Oreochromis niloticus: one gene and its partner. The protein of the gene in region 2 interacts with the protein of the main gene of each other region in a pairwise test. Links are inferred from orthologs where the notes say so. Each region holds a gene or a part of one and is shown on either strand. Other genes may lie near its edges. The genes, in order: protein ZBED8-like and mettl21a.

Region 1 (10,258 bases), on a different chromosome or scaffold from region 2:
TGAGAATGTTTAGTCGTTGAAGATTAGGAGTCCCACGGGAGGCAGATGTAATGAGGAAAAGGAGCTGCGAGAGGAACACAGCGCCAAATGACCTCTGGCAGGAGGGGAAATGAGCGTTGTTAGGAGTTTGAGTGAATTAGCGGGGCCATTTGTATTCATGGCTATATTACAAAGGCAGAGATGGTGGATCGGGCCTCACGGCCGCTGCATGCTTTCACTGCAGTCAAAAGAAACCACCCTCAGGCCTCCTAAAGCCACGTCTCAACTCAGCGTGTCTGTGAGCGGGATTTATTTGCTCGGTAACAAGATGAACCTGTTTGAGGTATTAAGTGTTCAGGCTGCTCTGGGTAGACAGTTCCTTCCCTGATTAAAATGGGTTTTTAAGGGGGTCAAGCAGAAGGGGGGCGGGATGTTAAGGACTCTTTGCTAGCCAATGTGTGTGTGTGTACGTGTGTGAACAGCCTCTGTGTGGTCTAAATTGTAAATTGTCACCTGAGGTAACCAAAGGTGGAGAGTCTTGTTATATGTGCAGAAGGGATTTGGAAAGGGAAGCGGGGGTGGCCCTCTTTGGCGGGTAGCTCTCAGCATAGAAAATTATATAAAAGGAGGGGGTAAAAAAAAAAAAAAGAGAGAGAAAGAAAGAAACAGGACAAGGATCTGCTAATGTAATCTGGCGGCCTCCCTCCCCCTGTCCATCTGTGGGGTTGAGAATGGCGAGGAATGTGACGAGCCAATTCAGCCTTTTCAGACAGAGAGTGAAAAAAGCGCAGAATTAAAGAGAAGACTGGATCTAATGTTGAAACCGATTCATCACCTCCAGCCCTGACAGTTCATCCAAAATTATGTTTTTCATTGACAGAAAATGACAGAACTGCAATTTGGGCCCAAACGAGTACGTGATAATTTGTATGTATATGTATTTACCCATGACTGCCCTCACTTTGGCTCTTGGTGATGAATAACAATACCATATTTTACATCCTTTAAATAAGCTCATTTTAAATAGTGGAGTTATTGATCAGGTTGGTTTTTTTTGTTGTTGTTGAGAAACATAAAGTGTAAACTTTATTGTTTATCTACAAAAAGATTCCACAGGACATTTTTATCTTTTAATTTGCTTAAACAAGTCTGGTGTAATGCCCGCTGAAGGGACTTAAGCAAAGTTTGACCAATCACAGCAATGACATGTGACTAGAAGTGGATGAGTGATGAAACGTTTCTCCCACTGAAAACGTCCAGATGAACAGAATCAACCTTTTGGGATTTACTTACCTGGATGATTGAACATGCATCGAGACATTTTAAAGGACTACATCCCTGAAAAAAACAAAATGCTTATGGGTAAGTATAATGGTTAATAGAAACGTGAACTTTTAGGTTGGTAGCAGCTGAATTCAGTTTTCTTGCCCCCAATTCGAGTACATAGTCCGCTGTTTACCTTAGAGCAGTGGTTCTTAACCTTGTTGGAGGTACCGAACCCCACCAGTTTCATATGCGCGTTCACCGAACCCCTCTTTAGTGAAAAATAATTTTATTTATTTTTTTCAAATTCAAGACATAGATATGTTTTTTACTGGTGCACAAAATGAGCCGTGCATAAACATCACCTTGTTCAAAGAACAAAACCAACACAATGCATGAACTTACAACAAATTACATACCTGCAAATCAGTGTGACTTCTGCTGTTGCCTTTGAGAGACCAGTTCAGATATGCGTGGCTTCACCTTGGCAAGTGCCACTCTCATGTCATTTTCACAGAAAAGTCTGTTCCTTTTCTTTGTTTTTATGTCCAGCATCGTCGAAAAGGATTGCTCGCAAAGATATGTTGTAACAAATGGTATTAAAAAATCCAGGGCTTTCTTAGCAATAATTGGATACCAAAACGTTGAGAGCGTTGTTGTTCTGAAGAGTTGCTGTTGAACCTGGCTCTGCTGAATTTCAATGATTTCGTCAAGGTATTCATCATTGACATCTGCTGTCTCAACAGCAAACGCTGCCTCACCCATGCTGGATATGACTCTCTTAGGGAAATATCTGTCGAGAGACTTTGCAAGCTCATCTAAGTGCGTTGCAATTGTTTGCTTCAGTTCCGTGGATACAGAAATATCTCCGATTCCAGACACATCTTCGATCTTACTTACACAGTTGTCCAGAAGGGGGAAGTTTGCGAAGTTGTTGTTCTCTGTTCGCCGTTTCCATAACGTTAGCTTTTTTTGAAAAGCCTTCAGGTGTTCTTCCGCTTCTATGATATTGACTCCACCACCCTGCATCTGCTGATTGAGATGATTGAGAGCTGCGAATATATCAGCCATGTACGCTAAAATGAGAATGAACTCAGGATCTTTGAAGCAATCTGCATGACAGTGTTGGTGCTCTTGCAAAAACAGGGCTAATTCCACACGCATGGCAAAAACACGATTCAGCACCTGTCCCCGGGATAACCACCGAACATTAGAATGGTACAGAAGTACCTCGAATTCAGAGCCCACTTCTTTACACAGCTCACTGAAGATGCGGTGCCTCATAGCACTATTTCGCACATAGTTCACACATTCCACCACAGTTTTTAATACTTCTGCCATTTTTGGAGGCAAGGTTTTTGTTGCCAATGCATGCCTGTGCAAAATACAATGAGTCACAATGATGTGTGGTGCATCGGCTTTTACTAGCGCACCAAAACCAGAGTTTCTTCCCAGCATGACTGGAGCTCCGTCCGTACAAACTGCAGAAACCATGTCCCATGAAAGATTGTTGTCTCTGAAGAAGTCATCCACAAGCTTCTTCACATCGGCTGCCTTAGTTGTTGTTGTAAGAGGCTTACAAAATAAAAAATCTTCTTTTATCATGTCGTCTTTCACATAGCGCACAAAAACAGTAAGCTGACTTAGATTAGCAACGTCTGTGCTCTCATCGAGCTGAAGGCTGAATTTTGCCGGGCTTGAAATCAGATCGGCGACTACTTGAGCCAAGATGTCTTTACTCATGTCTTCTATTCTGTCGCTGACGGTGTCATTTGAAAGAGGAATTTGGGATAATTTACCTTCGGCCGCTGTTCCGAGTATCAGATTTCCCATCTTTAACGCAGCTGGTTTCATGAGTGTTTCACCAGTGGTGTGTGGCTTGCCCTGCTTTGCGATCAGGTAAGCAACTTCGTATGATGCTGTGAGGATCGGTTTGCTAACGGGTACAAATCCAAGAGCAGGCAGAGTGGGCCTTTCATCGAATCTGGCTCTCTTCACCTTGAATTCAGCAAGTGTTGTGTTCTTGTATTCCCCGTCTCCATGCAGCTTCAAGAAGTGTTCCTTTAGTTTTGCTGGTGCGAGACTAGAGTTGCTCAACTTGGCATTGCAAATCATGCAGATAGGACGCTCACTCCCATCACGTTCCGTGATACATGTGAATCCATATTGTACATATTCGTCCGACCACTTTCTTCTTTTGCCCGACATAGTATGGATTAAAATGTTAAAAAAAAAAATCACACTTAGTACTACCACGACATTCACATGTTGACTACTGCGCGCGCTACATTCCCCGCAGCCCTGATTGGCCAAGCAGTGTAGCATGATCGTCTGCAGCCAGTGATGGCCAGAAGGGGGAGTGTCATCACAAATTTACACGATAATTCGGGTGTGTCTGGACCTCTGCGAACTCCGCGGTGGAGGCTCTGCCGAACCCGTGAGACAGACTCACCAAACCCCTAGGGTTCTAGGGTTCGATCGAACCCAGGTTAAGAACCACTGCCTTAGAGTCAGGTGTCCATGTCTCTGGAGAACGCTGTAAAACTTGTCAGTGAGTCAGTGAAGCTCAATTCTGACCAAAGACAGCGATACTGAGGTGAGTTGTTGAGAATATCCGGAACCTTTCTTTTGGTAAGCGCTGCTGTCTTTGGTGCTGTTCGCTGGCGTTAGTGAAACTTTCTTTGAAGTGGGACACTTAGCGAATAAACTCTCACGCAATGTCAGCATGTAATCAAACTTAACAGAGGGAAAGTGTGATTTTGAGGACACTCGAGCCCAACATTAGCTTAGACCAGGGGTCTGCAACCTTTTACACCCAAAGAGCCATTTGGACCCGGTTTCCACGCAAAAGAAAACACTGGGAGCCGCAAATACTTTTTGACATCTAAAATGAAGATAACACTGTATATATTGTTTTTTATCTTTATGCTTTGTGTGAACAACTTAAGTGTGTTGCTTATGAAATCCATGAAGTGCTACAGAGAAAATTACATTATATTTATGTAATCAACACATTTTGAACTCTTAAAGAAATATAATAAAAGGAAAGACACCAACCTGAACTAAAATGATCCATGTAGCAAACAAAAACTGTTGTCAGCCCCACCCTTATATCCCCTTTGGGCTGTTGGAGCCTTGACCTGACTCTTAAAAAATAATTGGAAAAAAGCACTATGCTGCTGAAAAATGAAAAATAGATATTTGCAAAATTCTGCCTAAATATGTATTTTACCTAGTTAATGCGTGCGGCGGGGCGTGGTTTGCAGCGCCGCTGCAGGGGAGGCGGACGCACCTGAGCGACACCCGCAATCACGCCTCGCTGCCTTAAAGTCTGCGCTATCTGTGCTGTTGTGTTGTCGGGCTGTGAGCTGAAAAGCTACAGCCGGCTGTATGCATACAGCAACCGTGTGTGAAAAGTGCTCAATAAAGAGATGCTCAAAAGCATGCTCATGGAAACATCGTCGGGTCTGCCGTGATATGTTTACAATGGGACTTCTGCTCCTGAACCTCTGCGCACAGAGTCCGCAAATCGGGGCTATACAAAGTCAGTTTACGCAGGACTGTAAGCTGTCATCTGTCAGGCGTGAACGGTGTTTGTCTTTAACATAGTTCACGGTGGAGAACAGCTGCTGACATAATGTGGATCCGAAGATCCATAATTGGCCTACCTGGGGTTGAAAGTCTCGATAAATGCACGGCGTTTCGGCGGGTATACCGGCTTCCGCGAGTGTGACTCTTATTTTGAGCGATGAAAAAATAATAGAATATCATTTTATTTTTATATTTCAATATCACAATAATCTTCCAATTTAGAACTACAAGTTAAAAAGAACTAACATAAATAAAATACACTTCAGCTAAATACTTCTAATTTATTTGCCCAAACCAAGCGGAGCCGCAGTATAAGGACTAAAGAGCCGCAGGTTGCCGACCCCTGGCTTAGAGGATAACCTTTTATCCAAATACCCACCTCTTTGCTCGTAAAATAGCCCCACCCTCTGGTTGCCTGCACAGGACAACCAATCTCCAGAGAATTGCATTCCAACTTGGACTGACTGCAATCACTCCCAGACAGACTAGCAACGATTTGCAAATAACTACTGACTCTAGGGATGTGCGATATGACCAAAATCTCATATCCTGATGAGACATTTATTTTGCCATGTTTGAGTCTGAGGTGGGGGCCGGTTTGCGGCATAATTTCCATAGTACAGTTTTCTGGTTCGTGTCAGACTTTTCATAACCAAACCATGTCCATGCTACAGAGGTAGCCCCTCGTTTAGGAATAAAGTCCTCGATTTGTTTTGACTGGTCCTTCTGTTTGGAGCCAACTGGCTCTGCCTCATCTTCACTGGCCATGCTGGGATTCTCTGTCCCTGCATCCATGTGGTTACTATAAGCGCCATTTATCATTACTTCATGTTTTCATTTGAGGTAATTTGTTTGATGCATCTTCTGAAATTTGATGTTTGACAATAATGTATATCATTTCAGTTTATTTTGAAAAATCTCAACACGATCTTCAGCTTTATTGTGAAAGGTTTATGTGGAAAATAAACAAGCGGACGGCGAAGCCACACGCCGGCTTTACCGTTATTGTTGCTAATGACAACGTGTAAACACATTCGCTTGTCCGTCCGTAGTGTAATAAATAATAAATACATAAAAGAGAACTTTAAGAAATTAACATAGCTACTACAGTGACCATCAAAACCGTGAAAACATATTCACGTAAACAGTTTATTTTGCGACACCACGAAACAAACAAAAGGGTATAATATGAAACGATAGAGGTGTTCATATTATCATCCGATATATATCGTTATATCGAACAATCCTAACCCACTCCTTTATAAACACAGACAGATTGGCAACATGTTGCCAATCTGCACCCACGAGTACAGCTCAGTTATATTGCTACATTAAAGTGAGGCTGCTGAGTACCTGTGTCTTTTTGCAGTTATCATCACTAAGTATGGAGGAACGTCTGAATTGCTCTTTCTAATCTACAAGGTTCTGGTTGGACTCTGAATGTCGTTGCTATTCTGTCCATACAACTGCTGCTTTTGGTTGGAGCTAAGTGGGTTAATAATACTCACCATTTCATCATCTACTAAATGTATTTGCTGAACTTTATGTAAAAGGGCCTTTGGAGTGGTTCACTAGTGAGATCTAGTGTTACTGCAAGTATCAGTGTCCTCGAGGGTATAATAATGTGTGCAGAAGTATTAATTAGATCCTCCAAGACTAGTAAAATATTTTTTATAAAATTGTGATCCTCGCCACGATGGAGGTTCAGTGTTACATTACAGAGAGCACGCCAACGCTTCTCAATCCTCCACGTCCACTCTAATTGTACATTTATATTTTAAGCATCTGGCTCCAGCCCCAAACTACTTCCAGTGAGTGCAACAGTAAAAGAAGCTCAATAAAATACTCAATCGCCAGCAGTTAACGTCCCCATAGCCCAATATTAATCACCACTAATGAATCATCTGCTTTTATTAACCACAGTTAGAGCTCTGTGAAGATGGCAGAGGAGAGGAACGCTGCTCTGTGGCTTATCAAACTTTGGCTGCCGCGACCAGTGTTCCCACTTTGAGCCGAGCAGCCTGGCTGGAGGTTTTGGCAGCAGAGAGCAGAGAAGCCAAAGGGCTGACTACAGCAGAGCAGCAGGGAATAAAATGCCAGAACTACTGTACCTTGTGGTGTCACTCTGCTCTACTGTAGGCTGTACAGCTTGTGCCACGTTGCACGCCGTGTATAGTGATATGTAGAGTTCAGTTCGTAAGTATGTGGACAGTTACTTTTCATTTTGTGCCTCAGGCCGTTTGAACTGAAGCATCAGCTCCTCTGTTTCAGTGAAGATTCTGCTTAAGTTCAGCAAGGAAGATCTGTAATCAGTCATCTGCTTTCCTGGGTGTTCGGCTGCTTTTCTGTTCTCAGCTTCACTTGAGTGAGGGGAGGAAGCACTGAGACACATCGCGTCCTGGCCCTGGAGTGCCTATGGGTCTACTACTTACTACTTAAGATTCAAGATTCAAAGCGTTTATTGTCATATGTACAGAAGAAATAGCATTTCTCTGTGCAATGAAATTTTTCCTTTGCTGTCCATACACAAATGCCAAGGTGGGTAAGGGTTAAAAGAACAAGATAAATAAAGAGAAATATGGATAAAAATAAAGGAAGATAAATAAATAAGTACAAAATAAGTAAGGGAAGACAAGTGTGGTATGCAGATGTCGATGTAGATGGATGTACAAGAATAGAATAGAATAGAATAGAATAGAATAGAATAGAATAGAATAATCCTTTAATTGCCCCACAGGTGGAAATTTGGTTGTAACAGCAGCCAGAAAGACACATATACAAACAAACAGTACACAGGACACAGAACAGAAACATACACAAGGAGCTTAATGTGCAAAATGAACTTAGTGTGCAAAGTGTCTGAAGTGCAAATTGCAGTTGAGGTAGGTCAGCTGTTCCGGAGTGTGATAGCAGTGGGGAAGACGGAGTTGTTGAGTCAGGATGTTCTGGATTTCACACCTAAACCTTCGTCTGGAGAAGTGTGAACAGTCCGTGGTGGGGCTGTGTGGGGTCTTTGAGGATGGAGGCAGCGCTCCTCGGGACTCTGCGATGGTAGATGCTCTGCAGAGAGGGCAGCTGTGTGGTGTTTAGTGTCCAGGTGAGGTCCTCGCTGATGTGGACGCACAGGTACCTAAAGCTGCTCACCCTCTCCACTTCACGCTCAGGGATAAGCAACGGCTGGTGAGGCCTCTTCTTCTTCCTCATGTCCACAATCATCTCCTTTGTTTTATCAGTGTTGAGGGTGAGGTTGCTGTCCTCACAACATGACACCAGACCGGCATTCTTAACATTTCCTATGTTTAGGCAGGAAGTCCATAAAGCACCAAGACTAATCAGGTGCCTCTACCTGCATTTGTTGGACACTAAGGTTCAGCTGGCCAAATCACCAGGTTGGCGTCATCGCTTTCTTGCCAAATCTTGATCTTGGTTAAGGATCTTGTCAAATGCAACAGCTAACGTGCTTCTCATCCTGCGTTGCTACTGCAGTGGCATAGGTGTTATGGAAAGTTTATATAAACGCCATTTTGGATCGCTTGTGAAAATCTACCAGGGTGAAGATTTTCCAAAACTCCATTTTTGCATTTACATGTGGATATGGAAAATTGAGATTTAATTCCACATCTTCAAAGGTGCCTTTAGCTCCTTTTTTGATGTCACATTATGTGCCATGTTATCATTTGCAGGTTTTTGATTGGCAACATTTCTTCACAGTGTGCATTATAGCGCCACCTGTCGCTCTGCCATGAACTTGAAATAGCTTGAGATCATTTCTTGAGTTTTTGTGTTTCAAATCAAGCGAGGAAAAATCCACATTTAAAGAAATGTCTGTGTAAGTGTGGAAATAAGAAACCTAAGAATCCCATGTGGCAACATTTGCTGTCCTTGGATAACAGCAGGTCCTATAGCCAAGTGTCAGTATGTGGCGTGCTGGAGTGAATGTGGTGCATACATAAGTAGACACATTGTGTTTTTATGTGTATCTAATGATAAGAATCAGGCTGGATTTTTGCAATAGCTACATTTATGCTTTCAGGCATTAGGCCTAGTTCACATTTGTGCTGCCTTTTACAGCGAGCATCAGCTGAGACAACACTGCACTCAGTCAGCAGCAACCCACAAACCAGCTGCTACAATCAGCAACCGTGCAAGAGCTAAGAGACGCAGGATCCTCAACAATAAAAGAAATGAAAACTCTAAATGAGGAACACAGCTCTCTCAAAGAAAAGATCGCTATCCAAGAAGATGGGCATGAAACAAAGGTAAGACAGCTCCATAACAACCTCACACAAAAAGACGAGGTCAGCGAAAAATCTGTGAAAAACCAACACCTCGGATGAAAGCGCACGCTGGCCTCCTCCACTGCGAGAAAAGAAGTAGAATGGAACGGCGCCTGAGCTGCTCTTAGATAACGTTGCTCGGCAGGAGGAATCCTGCATAACCAAAGTCCGGCAGGAGGAGAACGAGAGAAACGTTCTTTCTGAGAATTTCTGGATGAAGGGAATCAGTGGGATGGAGCAAGAGAGGCAGAAAAAGACAAAACTCCTCATCAGCAGGATCCAACAGCTTCAGGTTCGCAGCCTGAGCTGATCGTTTGATTTCACAATAATGTTCCGTTGGATCCCAAAAGCTGGTTTCAGAATGTTTCACAGTTTAATACAGAATCTTTAACTTACATTTTTTTTGTCAAACAGCTTGCACTTTAGAAAAGGAACAGGAAGAGGTCGTGGCACAAAAATCAGAAAGCTTAAAAGGTGGAGAAAAAGAAGGAGGGAGGAGAGGAGGAAAAGAAAGGAAGGAAAAGACTTGGAGGAGATGGAGGGAAGAGGAAACTGCAGAGGAAAGACAACGAAAGAAGGAGGAGTGAGGAGAAAGAAACTTTGATTCCTACCATTTCCCCTCTCCACCTTCCTCTCCCCTAACTCATCCCTCTCAGAAACTGCCTCTACCCTCCAGCCCCAGCTCTCCCTCTCCCATACCTCCACCACATCCAGGAAACTGTGTGAAGGATTCAGGAGACAAACCAGAATCCTACACCTCTGATTGTATCCCCATCACACCTTGATCCTTTACCCCCCTTTTTCCTTACACAATACCCTTTACTAGCCTCATTCCCTCCATTTTGCTTCACTGTTTCACTGTAAACAGTTATAAACAGCTGTAAATAGCTCAATAAAATGTATTTGATTACATTTATATCTACAGTGTTCTACTCCAGTGTTTTACTACTAGTCAAGGTCATATGGACGGAAAGTAAATCAGTTTCCTCATGTGTGTGTTCATCACTCGTGTTAATATTTAAATGTATCTCAGCACTGATATTGTTTGCGTTACGCTGACAACAAAGACAAAAACAAATATTTAAAGGACACTTTGTATTTCTATACCCTCTAATAAAGCCTCACTTCTGGCGGCAAAGCAAACTCAG
Region 2 (10,796 bases):
CCTATCAAATCCGCACAGCCCCCACTAGCACCATCACTCCTGGGGTGGTCATGGCAACTCCACCCACAATCAGCGGATCAGGAGCCACTGAGGAAGTTACACGCAAACGGGAGGTCCGACTGATGAAAAACAGGTATGGCGAGGTTAATTAGCAACTCGTACTGAATTGCTTCTGTAGGTGTGAAGCTGATGTGCTGTACCTTCATGTACCCACATCCTCTTGTCTCACAGGGAGGCAGCCCGCGAGTGCCGTAGGAAGAAGAAGGAGTACGTGAAGTGTCTGGAGAACCGCGTGGCCGTGCTGGAAAACCAGAACAAAACCCTCATTGAGGAACTGAAAGCCCTCAAAGACTTGTACTGCCACAAATCAGAGTAGAATACACCTGCCGGTGGTTTGACAGGTGATCCCCAGCACTTGTGTACAGAGACTCAGCACAGAGCCATGCATCTGGATGCCCCCTCCTCTTTTCTACTCTTCTGCTTTCTTTTTAAAAACTGCTGAAAAATATGTGAACGTGACTCACCAGGTATGAAAAAACAAAAAAAGCCCCATCCCACTTTGGTAAATTGAAACTTTGTCCCATTTGAGCAATTTGAAATCAACCATCAGTTTTCCCCCATTAAAAGGATGAGGCGGTGCTCACAGTGAACGTGGAGGAGACTGCAACTTAAACAGGGTCTGCGTGGCAAGGTGACAGAGCAGGGAAACTAGCTGTTCTCGCCAAGGACACCACCGAAGGGAAGCATTCCAGTCACTGGTGCCCGGACTACCTGGGCAACATCACCAGCAATGGGGGAACTGACCGCAAGCACCACCGATAATGATGATGATGGAACTTTTTCTTTTTTTCTTTGGGAGAGTGTAACTTCACGTAAAACATTTCTATCTGTAACTCTCGAATTAACATCTGTTACTTATTAATGCTTCAAACTTATAGGTGGCCTGTGTCTTGGACGTTTTTATCTTTTAAGATGTGTGTTTTGGTTTGTTCTGAATTAGATTATGCTTCTACAATGCCATGTTTCTTTTTTTCTTTGTTTTACCCAAGTATATTTTTGCTTTTATACAACGTGAACAAAAAGCTAACCATTTAGTTGTAAAATGGTTTTTTTCATGTTAACTGCAGCACAGTGAGGAGATGGTAGAAGTTGGGCAGCAGTGAAGTGGGTGGGGGGAGGGTCTTCTAACAGAGCCCTAGAAATGTTTGACTTTTTGTCTTCATTTTTTTTTAAGCTTCAGAAACATTAAGTGGAAAATTGCGTAATGGCGTCCTGTTAATTACCAGAGTTTGGTGGTAAAAACAAACAAAGGCAAAATGGGCCTTCAACAGTACAGGAAGTGGGAATAATGGATAAATAAGCTGCTGCCCGTTTATCAGAGATTATATACTGTAAGCAAAACCTTTTTTTTTTTTTTCCCCCTCCATAGACTCATGGATTATTTTTGAACAATAACCAAAAACTTAATGAGCCTTACTTGTTATGCAATGAAAGAGTTTTTAAGCAGAATTCAGAGACAAGTGGATAAAGCACTGGAATCATGGAATTAGATCATAGGGGGAAATTTGCCATACCGGGCCCCTCTGTGTGTCGAGGCCTCGGTCGCCGTCTCTTAATTCTGTTTATAGTTATGAGCTAGCATGTGCACTTTCTTTGCATTTACAATCCTTCAGCATTTCAACGCTTTCTGGGTAAATCTACCGCTCATCTGCAGTTAATCAAGTGCTGTTGCATCAATGTGTTTGATCACTTGTTTTTTTTTTTTGTAAATGGAGCATCAAAGCTCACCAGATACAACTCAACTGCACCCACTTTGTGAAATGACTATAAGATCAGGTGGTGTTGGTGCATTCTGAAAGAAAAAATATTTTTGTGATAATGGGATGCCATATTGTATTCTTTAGGTATTATGTATAGTCATGATATAGTATGCTTTTTATGTTGCTTCTCATTTTTTTTTTTTTTTGTATTCACTATTTCTAAATGTCAGCAACAACTTGTATAATAATACAGTGCATTACGTTAGAGCTATTCAGATATGACACTTTTGGCAGCTGTTAATAAATAAATGTGTTTCTGGTAATCTGATTTTAAAACATTTTATTTCATATATTAAAACAAACAAATGTTCACAAGTCTCTCCTCTGTGTCAGTTTGCAAGCCTTGTATAGGTGTATGTCTCTTTGTTTGTCGTAGTGGACTTCTTCGACGGTGAAGCGCCGCTTAAGCATGCCTAGGAAGTTTGTGTCTCGCTCATAGCGGAGCTTGCAGGCCAGTAACACCACAGTGGTGTCTGAGCTCAGGTGCTCCAGTGTTTCCAGCAGAGGCAAAAACGTGTCTTCCAGGTAAACGATATCTGCACCCAGAACCACATCAAACCCTCCGGCTGGGTATTGCTCGAGGCCCTCGCCCCAGGTCAACTCGGAGACCACCACTGATTGTTGGGAATCTGGGGGCAGGTTTGCTTTCACGTTGGCGGAGAGGAAGTCCAGCGCAGGCTCTCTGTCAGTGATGGTCACTCTGGCACCTACGGAAGGGTTAGAGTTGTGGGACTATCACAGCTTTCCTTGTTCACCTGACGCGCACTCAGAAGGCTTTTTGATAGTGCTGTGAGATACTGCAAATTTTGGTATCGGTCTGATACATAGTAAATACAGGGCCAGTATTGCTGATATCAATATGGATACTTTAAACCTATTAAGGGAGATTATGTAGCGAAGAGTAGCGTGTCATGATTTATGAGATGAATCCTGAACGAATTTTAATGACCACTAAATCAATTTCATTTTAATTTTCCACGATAATGAGTTAACACAACAAAAAAACAACTTCAGTTTTTGGATAAAGGTGGGCAGATTAACCCAAATATCGATGGTATTAATATCCTTCGATACCAGCACAATAGGATCGATACATACTGTGACGTCTCTGTGATTTAAAGCCTGTAGCAGCACATTTAAACAACTTAAGCTGACCTACAGTGTTTTAACACATGCACATTTAAATTCAAGGTCTCCAAAAAACTCCTCAAAATGTGTTATATATGTGTGTATATTTTTCATTATTTTATATTAATTTATTTAACACAGTTCTTTTGTGTACATACAGAACTTAAAGGTTTGAAACAAAGTGCTGATCCTTTTCGGCTAGTATCATTCTAATACCAATAGCAGCATTGGTACTGATACTACTGATATTTGGAGTGATCCGCCCACCTCCAGTTTTTTGGTGGTTAGTAATTATGCACTCACCCAGCAGAGCTGCTACAATGCCCACCAGACCAGTGCCAGCTCCCAATTCAATTGCTTTCTTCCCCTTTAGCTCCACTTTTCCCAGCTCCAAGTACATACACATGACCACCGCCTGGGCAATAACACATAAATGCAATAGTAATGTATATATCTAATGAAACATGGAGGAATTATTGAAGCTAAGCACTGCTGCCACTGTTGTAACGTACCGCATCCCACACAACTGCCGCCACACCGAGCTTTTTCCAGTCCTGAGCGAGTCGGAGGTCGCGGTTGGCAAACCTAAACTGTGCTGATGAATTGTGGAGTTTGGAAAGCGCGGGCAACGGGTTTTCTACATATGGAACGAGAGCCATGCTTTGAAATAAATAAAACTACACTCGTTTACACATGCGCAGTGCGTTCCTCCTTCTTCGACGCTTTCCCTCGTACCTGGCTGGCTCATTGATTCGTTTCCGCCATCTTCTGGAGTTATTATATAGCTATTATTTCATTCGTTTGTTAAAGAATGTTCTTACGGTATATGAACCAACTTTTAGCGTTGATAGTTCTTCTTCTTCTTAAATGTTATTGGCGGTTGGCAAAGTGTTGATAGTTTGCTTATTTTCTTTAATAAATACTGAAGAGCGAGAGACCTATTCGCTTTCAAGCAACTGAAGACGGCAACCCGTGTTGACGTCAACGAACAAATTTAGCCAATCACGTAACAGCTCAGCTAAAAGTGACCAATGGGAAAAGAGTAAGTCTTTGTGATGGGCGTGTCTGCAAGATTTTCTTAACGGTGTTGTCAGTGATTGTTGATCAATGGTCATGGGAATTTGCATAATTATGATTAAGGAACTGACCTCACAGCCCATTGTTCCTTCAGTGGGCTGGTTTCAGTCATTATGCAAATGTACTGTTTATAAGGGTTGGGGAAAACTGCAGTCAGCTGAGACTGAAGAAGTCACTTGGATGAGTGACGAAACGTTTCTCCCACAAAACGCTACGTCCAGATGAACAGATTCAACTTTTGGAGATTAACGGTGTTGTGTTTTAGCTAAAATCGAGGGGGGCGTGGTCTGAAAAAAACCCAGCAGGTCTGTAAAGGTAGCAACACATAGCAGCGATGTAGCTTCCGGTGTACTGCAAATAAAGGGTTTTTGATCTGCGTGAAGAGACTCTGTGCTGACAGTATAGACATAAGAAATAAAAAAGAAAAAAAAATACATATTTTCATCGAATATGAAAAGGCTGCACAGTGGTGGATATTTTCTTAGTAAGAACCTGCCACCACTGGCATCTATTGCAGCTACGGGTCCATGGCAGCTATCTATTGATAATACTGAAAATAACTGATGCACAAAAAATACTGAAACATGCCTTGGTTGAGTAAATTAGACAAAAATGAAAACCTAGTTGTTGAAAAGGTTGTTGAATTATTACATGCATGGTGTTTTTGAGCAAAGATTTGGAAATAAATCTGAAATAAAAATAAATAGATAAAACAAGAGAAACTTATGAAAACTGTATTGAAATGGGCTGTTGCTTAAATTATTTTAAGACTTATTATCTTTTATAGGTGTCTGTTAAGAAAGAGTGTTCAGCATAAACGTTTTTATTTATATGAACAACAAATCATTTGAAGTTTTCTTTTCACTAAGTTTTTTATTTTATTTTTAATTCAACAGCTTACACTTTTATTTTATTTTAAGCAGACAGCTTGAATAGGTTTAATAAATATTTTATTAGTTATTTTCTATCTGGTTTTTTTAACAGTTTCACACGTGCTTTTGATGTTACCACCAGCGGACTTTTACTTTGAAAACCCAAAGCAGGAAATTACCTCTGAACTTACCTGCTACGGTCGCTTTGACATCTAAAGCTTGTGTCCCGCTAGTGCGACGAGATGAACGCCACCTCCGGACACCTCTTTGATATCCGCTGGCCGTTCACTTTCCCCGTTTCCTCTAAAAACCCTTCCGGCTGGTGAATTCGCCCGGTGCTCTCGCTGAAAGGGCCGCAGCGGTGACACAGACTTGAGCCGGAGTGAAAATGGATTGAGTCACGCTGCTGGAGGAGCCAGCAGTGGACTGAGGTGCGGAAGCTAGCGTTAGCCGGCTAGCCATGGAGGGAGGCAGAGGAACGGCTGACTTTGTCTCGTTAGACTGTTTTCCGTAAAATGACTTGGTAGCGGTTATTCTCAGCCCAAAACCATGCAGCCCACGCACGCAGTTCATATTAAAGTGCGCCACCCGTGAGTTGCGCACACACCCTGAATATGTCAGCCGTCCTGCAAATACCGCAGATACCCACTTGGCTGTCCTTGCATAGATCCCGTTCTGCTCTGAAGCGAGATCGTTCACTTTGCAGCAAAAACACAAGGGCTGTGCTGGTCCACAACATGCACATTTTCAAATAATCCGAACACTTCCAGGTTGTGATTGAACCTGATCTCGCCAAGGCAGAGCAAAACTAGTGTTTTATGTACATTTCCTAACAACCCCTTGTAAGGTTTGGGTTAAAGTTCTTGCAGACCTTCCTGCAGCTTCAGAATTGCCAGACTAGCAGGTGGTCTCTCCCCAATTGTATGGAAAGCGGCGCTGGCTGTTGCAGGACTTTTGCAGGTCAGCGATGGGAGGTTCGGTGTCCTGCTGCATCTCTCCTGGAGAGAGCCCCAAGATTCACAGGAGAGAGCTGGAGCTGGAGGAGTGTCCCATCACTACTACCGAAGATGTGAGCGAGGACACTGGGACGTATCTGCAGCACATCAGCGACAGGGAGCTTCCAGATGGTGTGTGAAGATTAGTTTGCTATTTTTGGAGATGTGATTGCATGCGGTGATGTTGCCCTGTCCTGGTGCCGGTTTACTGCAAGTGGTAAATGTATTTGTATAGCGCTTTACTAGTCTCTAAGGACCCCAAAGCGCTTTACACAACCAGTCATCCACCCATTCACACACACATTCACACACTTCAGTGTGATTCAGTTTAAATGTTTTACATGCTTTAAGAGCCGTTTAGCATTAAATCAGCAACAGGGTGGCAGCTCCTAGACAAACACTGTAGTCTTATATGAAGACTTTTAACACTTTCCTTCTACAGAGCTGGCCCAAGAGGCCAACCCATCCGACCACCCCAGAGCAAGTACTCTATTCCTCAACAAGTCTCAGACAGATGGTCAGTATTTCTCTAATGCTTTAATATTTTACCCCATTCTCTTCTGAAACTCCTACATCTCTTTGATTTTGTTTTTTATCCAATTTCAGTCCGCGAGAAAAGGAAAAGCAACTACATGAATCACGTAAGTTACGGCTCTGTGTGTTCTTCATGGGTCTTTTTGTTGCTGAAATGACTCACAATCATACATCTCATTTCTCTGGGGTTGAATGTGTTTCTAAAACCCGTTTTTCCCTCCATTCTGTCTCTAAACATTGTCACGCTTTCGATGCCAGATGTCCCCGGGACTCCTTTCTAAAAAGTACAGCTCGTGTTCAACCATATTCCTCGATGACAGCACAGTCAGCCAGCCCAATCTCAAGAGCACCATTAAATGGTAAGTGAGCGACCTCACCTCAGTCCTGCTGCAAGCGCAAGTACAAAAGAAGTTGGGACGCTGTGTAAAATGTGAATAAAAAACAGAGTTCAATGGTTTGCAAATTCCACAAACACAGATTTGATTCACTTTAAAACATTCTAAACTTATCAGATGTTTATTTTGAATTTGATGGCAGCATCACGGCCACGTTTAACGCTGTGTAGCATCCCCTCTTCTTTTAATAAAAGTGTGGAAACTAAAGAGAGCAGCTGCTGGACATTTGAGAGAGGAATGATGTCCTGATATAAGATTCTAGCTGCTGCTTTCAGCTGGTGAAAAGTTCAGCATCTGGACTTCTCTACCAGGAAGTCATGCTCTTGTAATACATGCAGTATGTGGTTTAGCACTGTCTTACTGAAATATGCAAAAACTTCCTTGAAGAAGCTCTCTGGACGGCAGCATATCTTGCTCTAAAGCCATATTATGCGTTTCAGCATTGATGGTGCTTTTCCAGATGTCCAAGCTACCAATTCAATAGGCACTGATGCGCCCCTCGTACCATCTTAGAGGCAAGCTGGATGGTTCTGCTCCTCTTTAGTGAGATTTGACCCCAGCAGTGTTTCTGGATCATGTTCACATATGACGTCTTCTTTGGATGATAGAGCTTAACCCCCTTTGTGGATGGCATGGTGAACTTTTAACAGTGATTTGTGGATTTTTTCCTGAGCTCATACAGTAATTTCCATAACAGAGATATTCCTGTTTTTAATTCAGTGCCACCTGAAGATCACGGGCACTGATTTTTAGCCTTGTCCTTTGTGCACAGATATTTCTTCAGATTCTGTGAATTGTTTAGTATCACTATGTACTGAATATTATTAGATATTCAAAGTCTCCTCATATGCACATTATTCTAAATTTGTTCCCCAATTTGTACATAGGTTTTTGGGTTTTTTTGGAGATTACTAAACCTTGGCCCATCTTTACTTCTGAGAAACTCCGCCCCCTTTAAGATCCTCTTCTTATACACAATTATGTTACTGACATGTTGTCAGTCTACTGTTTAATTATTTGCCAAATGTTTCTGTTTGTTTTTCCTGAAATGCAGGTAACTTTTAAAGTCGCCAAATAGCTGCAGTTGTAAAGATCTAAATATCTATTTGTAAAGTAGAAGTAAAAATAATTATTTTTAAAAATAAAAAGCTGTAAAAGGGAAAATCCAGCTCTAGTGTTTTATTCTTTGTTGATTTCTGTCTCTTGCAGTGTTGCACTGGCCATATACTACCACATAAAAAACAGGTAGGAAATGTCAGAAGTATTGTCTCTTGGTAGTGCAACGTTTTCTTCATTGTTGTAACCAGTACTTCGATATTTACAAACATTTACAAAGATATTTACAAACATTAGTCATCAAGTTTGTAAGAAAGACTGCTTTTAGTACTTAGGCTAATTTTTAATTACTTCATCTAAGTCCTATAGGAAATGCTACTTGCCTTGTCTTATTGCTAAATACATCATGCATGAATGACAGACGTATGCAGAAGGTGGATATCATCTTAAGTGCCAGATGGGTACAGCTTTTAAAGATCATCACTGGTAATGAGAGCCAGAGATTTAGCTCTGATTAACAAACAAACCAGAAGGTGGCTTGCATCAGGTCAGAATTGCAAAAGAAATTATAAAAAAAAAGAGATTGTGATTGCTTTTTTAAAATTAACAGTTTTTTCCATCTCATGTCTGCCCATAATACGTTGAACATTGAGTTCTCTGTTTGGATCATCTCAGTTTGAAATGAAATGTATTTGCATTTCAAATGTAGTAACTGTCAAAACACGACTTTAGGGAAAGTAGGAGCTACTTTCCCTAAAGTCGTGTTCTTGGAAGTGATCCAAGGATGCAACTTTGGCCATAAAACTCCAAACCGTACTTGACCCAAATTAGGCAGAGTCACAGCACTTGGTGGTGGCAACTCAAAGAATAGATACAGTGTGGTGAAGAAGTATTTGCCCCTCTCTGATTTCTTAGTTTTTTGCATATTTGTCAAACTTACAGGTTACAGATCATCAAGCTAATTTGAATATTAGACCAACATAGCCTGAGTAAATACAAAATACAGTTTTTAAATGACTTTGTTTATTAAGGCAAAAAAAGTTATCCAAGCCTACTTCATCCTCATAGAATAGAATAGAATAGAATAGAATGCCTTTATTGTCACTATACAGTTGTACAATGAGATCATCCACTCATCCTGTGTGGGGAAAAAAGTAATTGGCCCCACTTGATCCACAGAACATGGATTGGATCCACAGTGAGAGCCATTATCCAAAAATGAAGAAAAATTGGAACAGTGGCGAACCCTCCCAGGAGTGACCGGCCTATCCAAATTACTCCAAGAGCGCAGCGACAGTTTCACTTTTGGGTCGCAAAAACCACCAAAACAACATCTAAAGAACTGCAGGACTCACTTGTCTCAGCTTAGGTCAGAGTTCATGATTCAACAATAAGACAGAGACTGGGAAAAAATGAAGAGTGGAAGAGTTCAAGGAGAAAACCACTGCTGACCAAAAGGATCACAAAGGCTCGTCTCACATTTACCAAAAACATCTGGATGATCCCCAAGAAAATATTCTGTGGACTGACGAGACAAAAGCTGAGCCTTGTGGAAGGTTTGAGTCCCGTTACATCTGACATAAAACTAACAGCATTTCATAAAAAGATCATCACAACAACAGTCAAACATGGTGGTGGTAGTGTGATGGGGCTGCTTTGCTGCTTCAGGACGACTTGCTGTAACTGATGGAACCATGAATTCTGCTCTCTACCAGAAAATCCTGAAGGCGGATGTCCAACCATCAGTTCATGGCCTGAAGCTCAAGAGCACTTGGGTTATACAGCAGGACAATGATCAGAAACACACCAGCATGTCCACCTCTGAAACAAAAGAAAGTTTTTCAGCGACTTAATCGAAATGCAGATTTAAATCAGATGGCATTACTTTGGCGTGACCTTAAACAGGCCGTTCATGCTAGAAGACCCTTCAGTGTGACTGAATTAAAACAACTGTACGAAGAAGAGTGGAGCAAAATTCCTCCACAGTTCTCAGAAACACTCGATTCCCATTCTTTTGGCAACGGTGACACAACCACTTGCTAGGTTTAGGGGTCAATTCCTTTTTAACATAGGACCAGGTAGGTTTGTATTAACTTTTTTCATTTAAAAACTAGATGTTAAATGTACTTATTATCTTTAACATTAAAATTTGTTTGATTATCTGAAACATTTAAGTGTGACGAATACACAACAAAAAAACTAAGAAATCAGGAAGGGGGCAAATACTTTTTCACAGCAGGTGGCCAGTGTTGATGGTCAGGTGGAAAATCAGATCAGTTTTTTGGACATCAGTGAGTCAGGTACTTAATAATATAGGAAACAAAATGTTTGTTAATTTGCACATCAGTGGTTATAATATACAAAGTATTTGTAGGACTCAACCAAAGATAAATAATTGTTGTGATATCTAACACCATGAAACGCCAGTGAATAAGCGATGGTAGTTTCAAACCATGAGAAGTTACATATTACGTATATTTAACAGTGGCTTGTTGCATCTACAGAGATTCAAACCGCTCACTGGATATATTCGACGAGAAGAAGCACCCTCTGTCGGTGAGTTGAGGTGGTTGATTACGCCAAGCAGTGATATTTACTATGTTAGTGGACCACTGATGATGACCTTCTGCCCAACAGCGAGAAAAGGTTCCAGATGACTACTCTGTGGTTGACCCAGAACACAAACTCATCTACCGCTTCATAAGAACGCTCTTCAGCTCTGCTCAGCTCACCGCCGAGTGCGCCATCGTCACTCTGGTAAGTTCAAACATCTACTACACTGCAGAAAGTGTTGAATGATGTAAAGAAATATTGAGAACCTATCACTCTTTCTGCTTGTGTGAATGGATGGGTGTCTGCTGCTTTAGGTGTATCTGGAAAGGCTGTTAACGTATGCTGAGATGGACATTTGTCCTTGTA

Evidence for each region.
Region 1: the proteins of mettl21a (region 2) and protein ZBED8-like interact in binary tests that used the Homo sapiens proteins (3 or more experiments, as listed by UniProt). The two-hybrid records come from large-scale screens. The link is inferred for Oreochromis niloticus from reciprocal best matches to the Homo sapiens genes METTL21A and FAM200C.

What each region holds. Positions count from the first base shown.
Region 1 is NC_031981.2:3,366,212-3,376,469, forward strand, and holds protein ZBED8-like, read right to left. Parts: upstream 3,581-10,258; 5' UTR 3,568-3,580; coding exon 1,669-3,567; 3' UTR 1,662-1,668; intron 1,514-1,661; 3' UTR 1,499-1,513; downstream 1-1,498.
Region 2 is NC_031986.2:22,784,665-22,795,460, forward strand, and holds mettl21a (protein N-lysine methyltransferase METTL21A), read right to left. Parts: upstream 3,931-10,796; 5' UTR 3,608-3,930; coding exon 3,461-3,607; intron 3,364-3,460; coding exon 3,252-3,363; intron 2,528-3,251; coding exon 2,130-2,527; 3' UTR 1,408-2,129; downstream 1-1,407. Other genes in the region: cyclic AMP-responsive element-binding protein 1, read left to right, coding at 1-133, 232-376; cyclin-Y-like protein 1, read left to right, coding at 5,865-6,024, 6,335-6,409, 6,499-6,533, 6,685-6,785, 8,031-8,066, 10,382-10,433, 10,515-10,634, 10,745-10,796. UniProt on the Homo sapiens protein: Protein-lysine methyltransferase that selectively trimethylates residues in heat shock protein 70 (HSP70) family members. Contributes to the in vivo trimethylation of Lys residues in HSPA1 and HSPA8.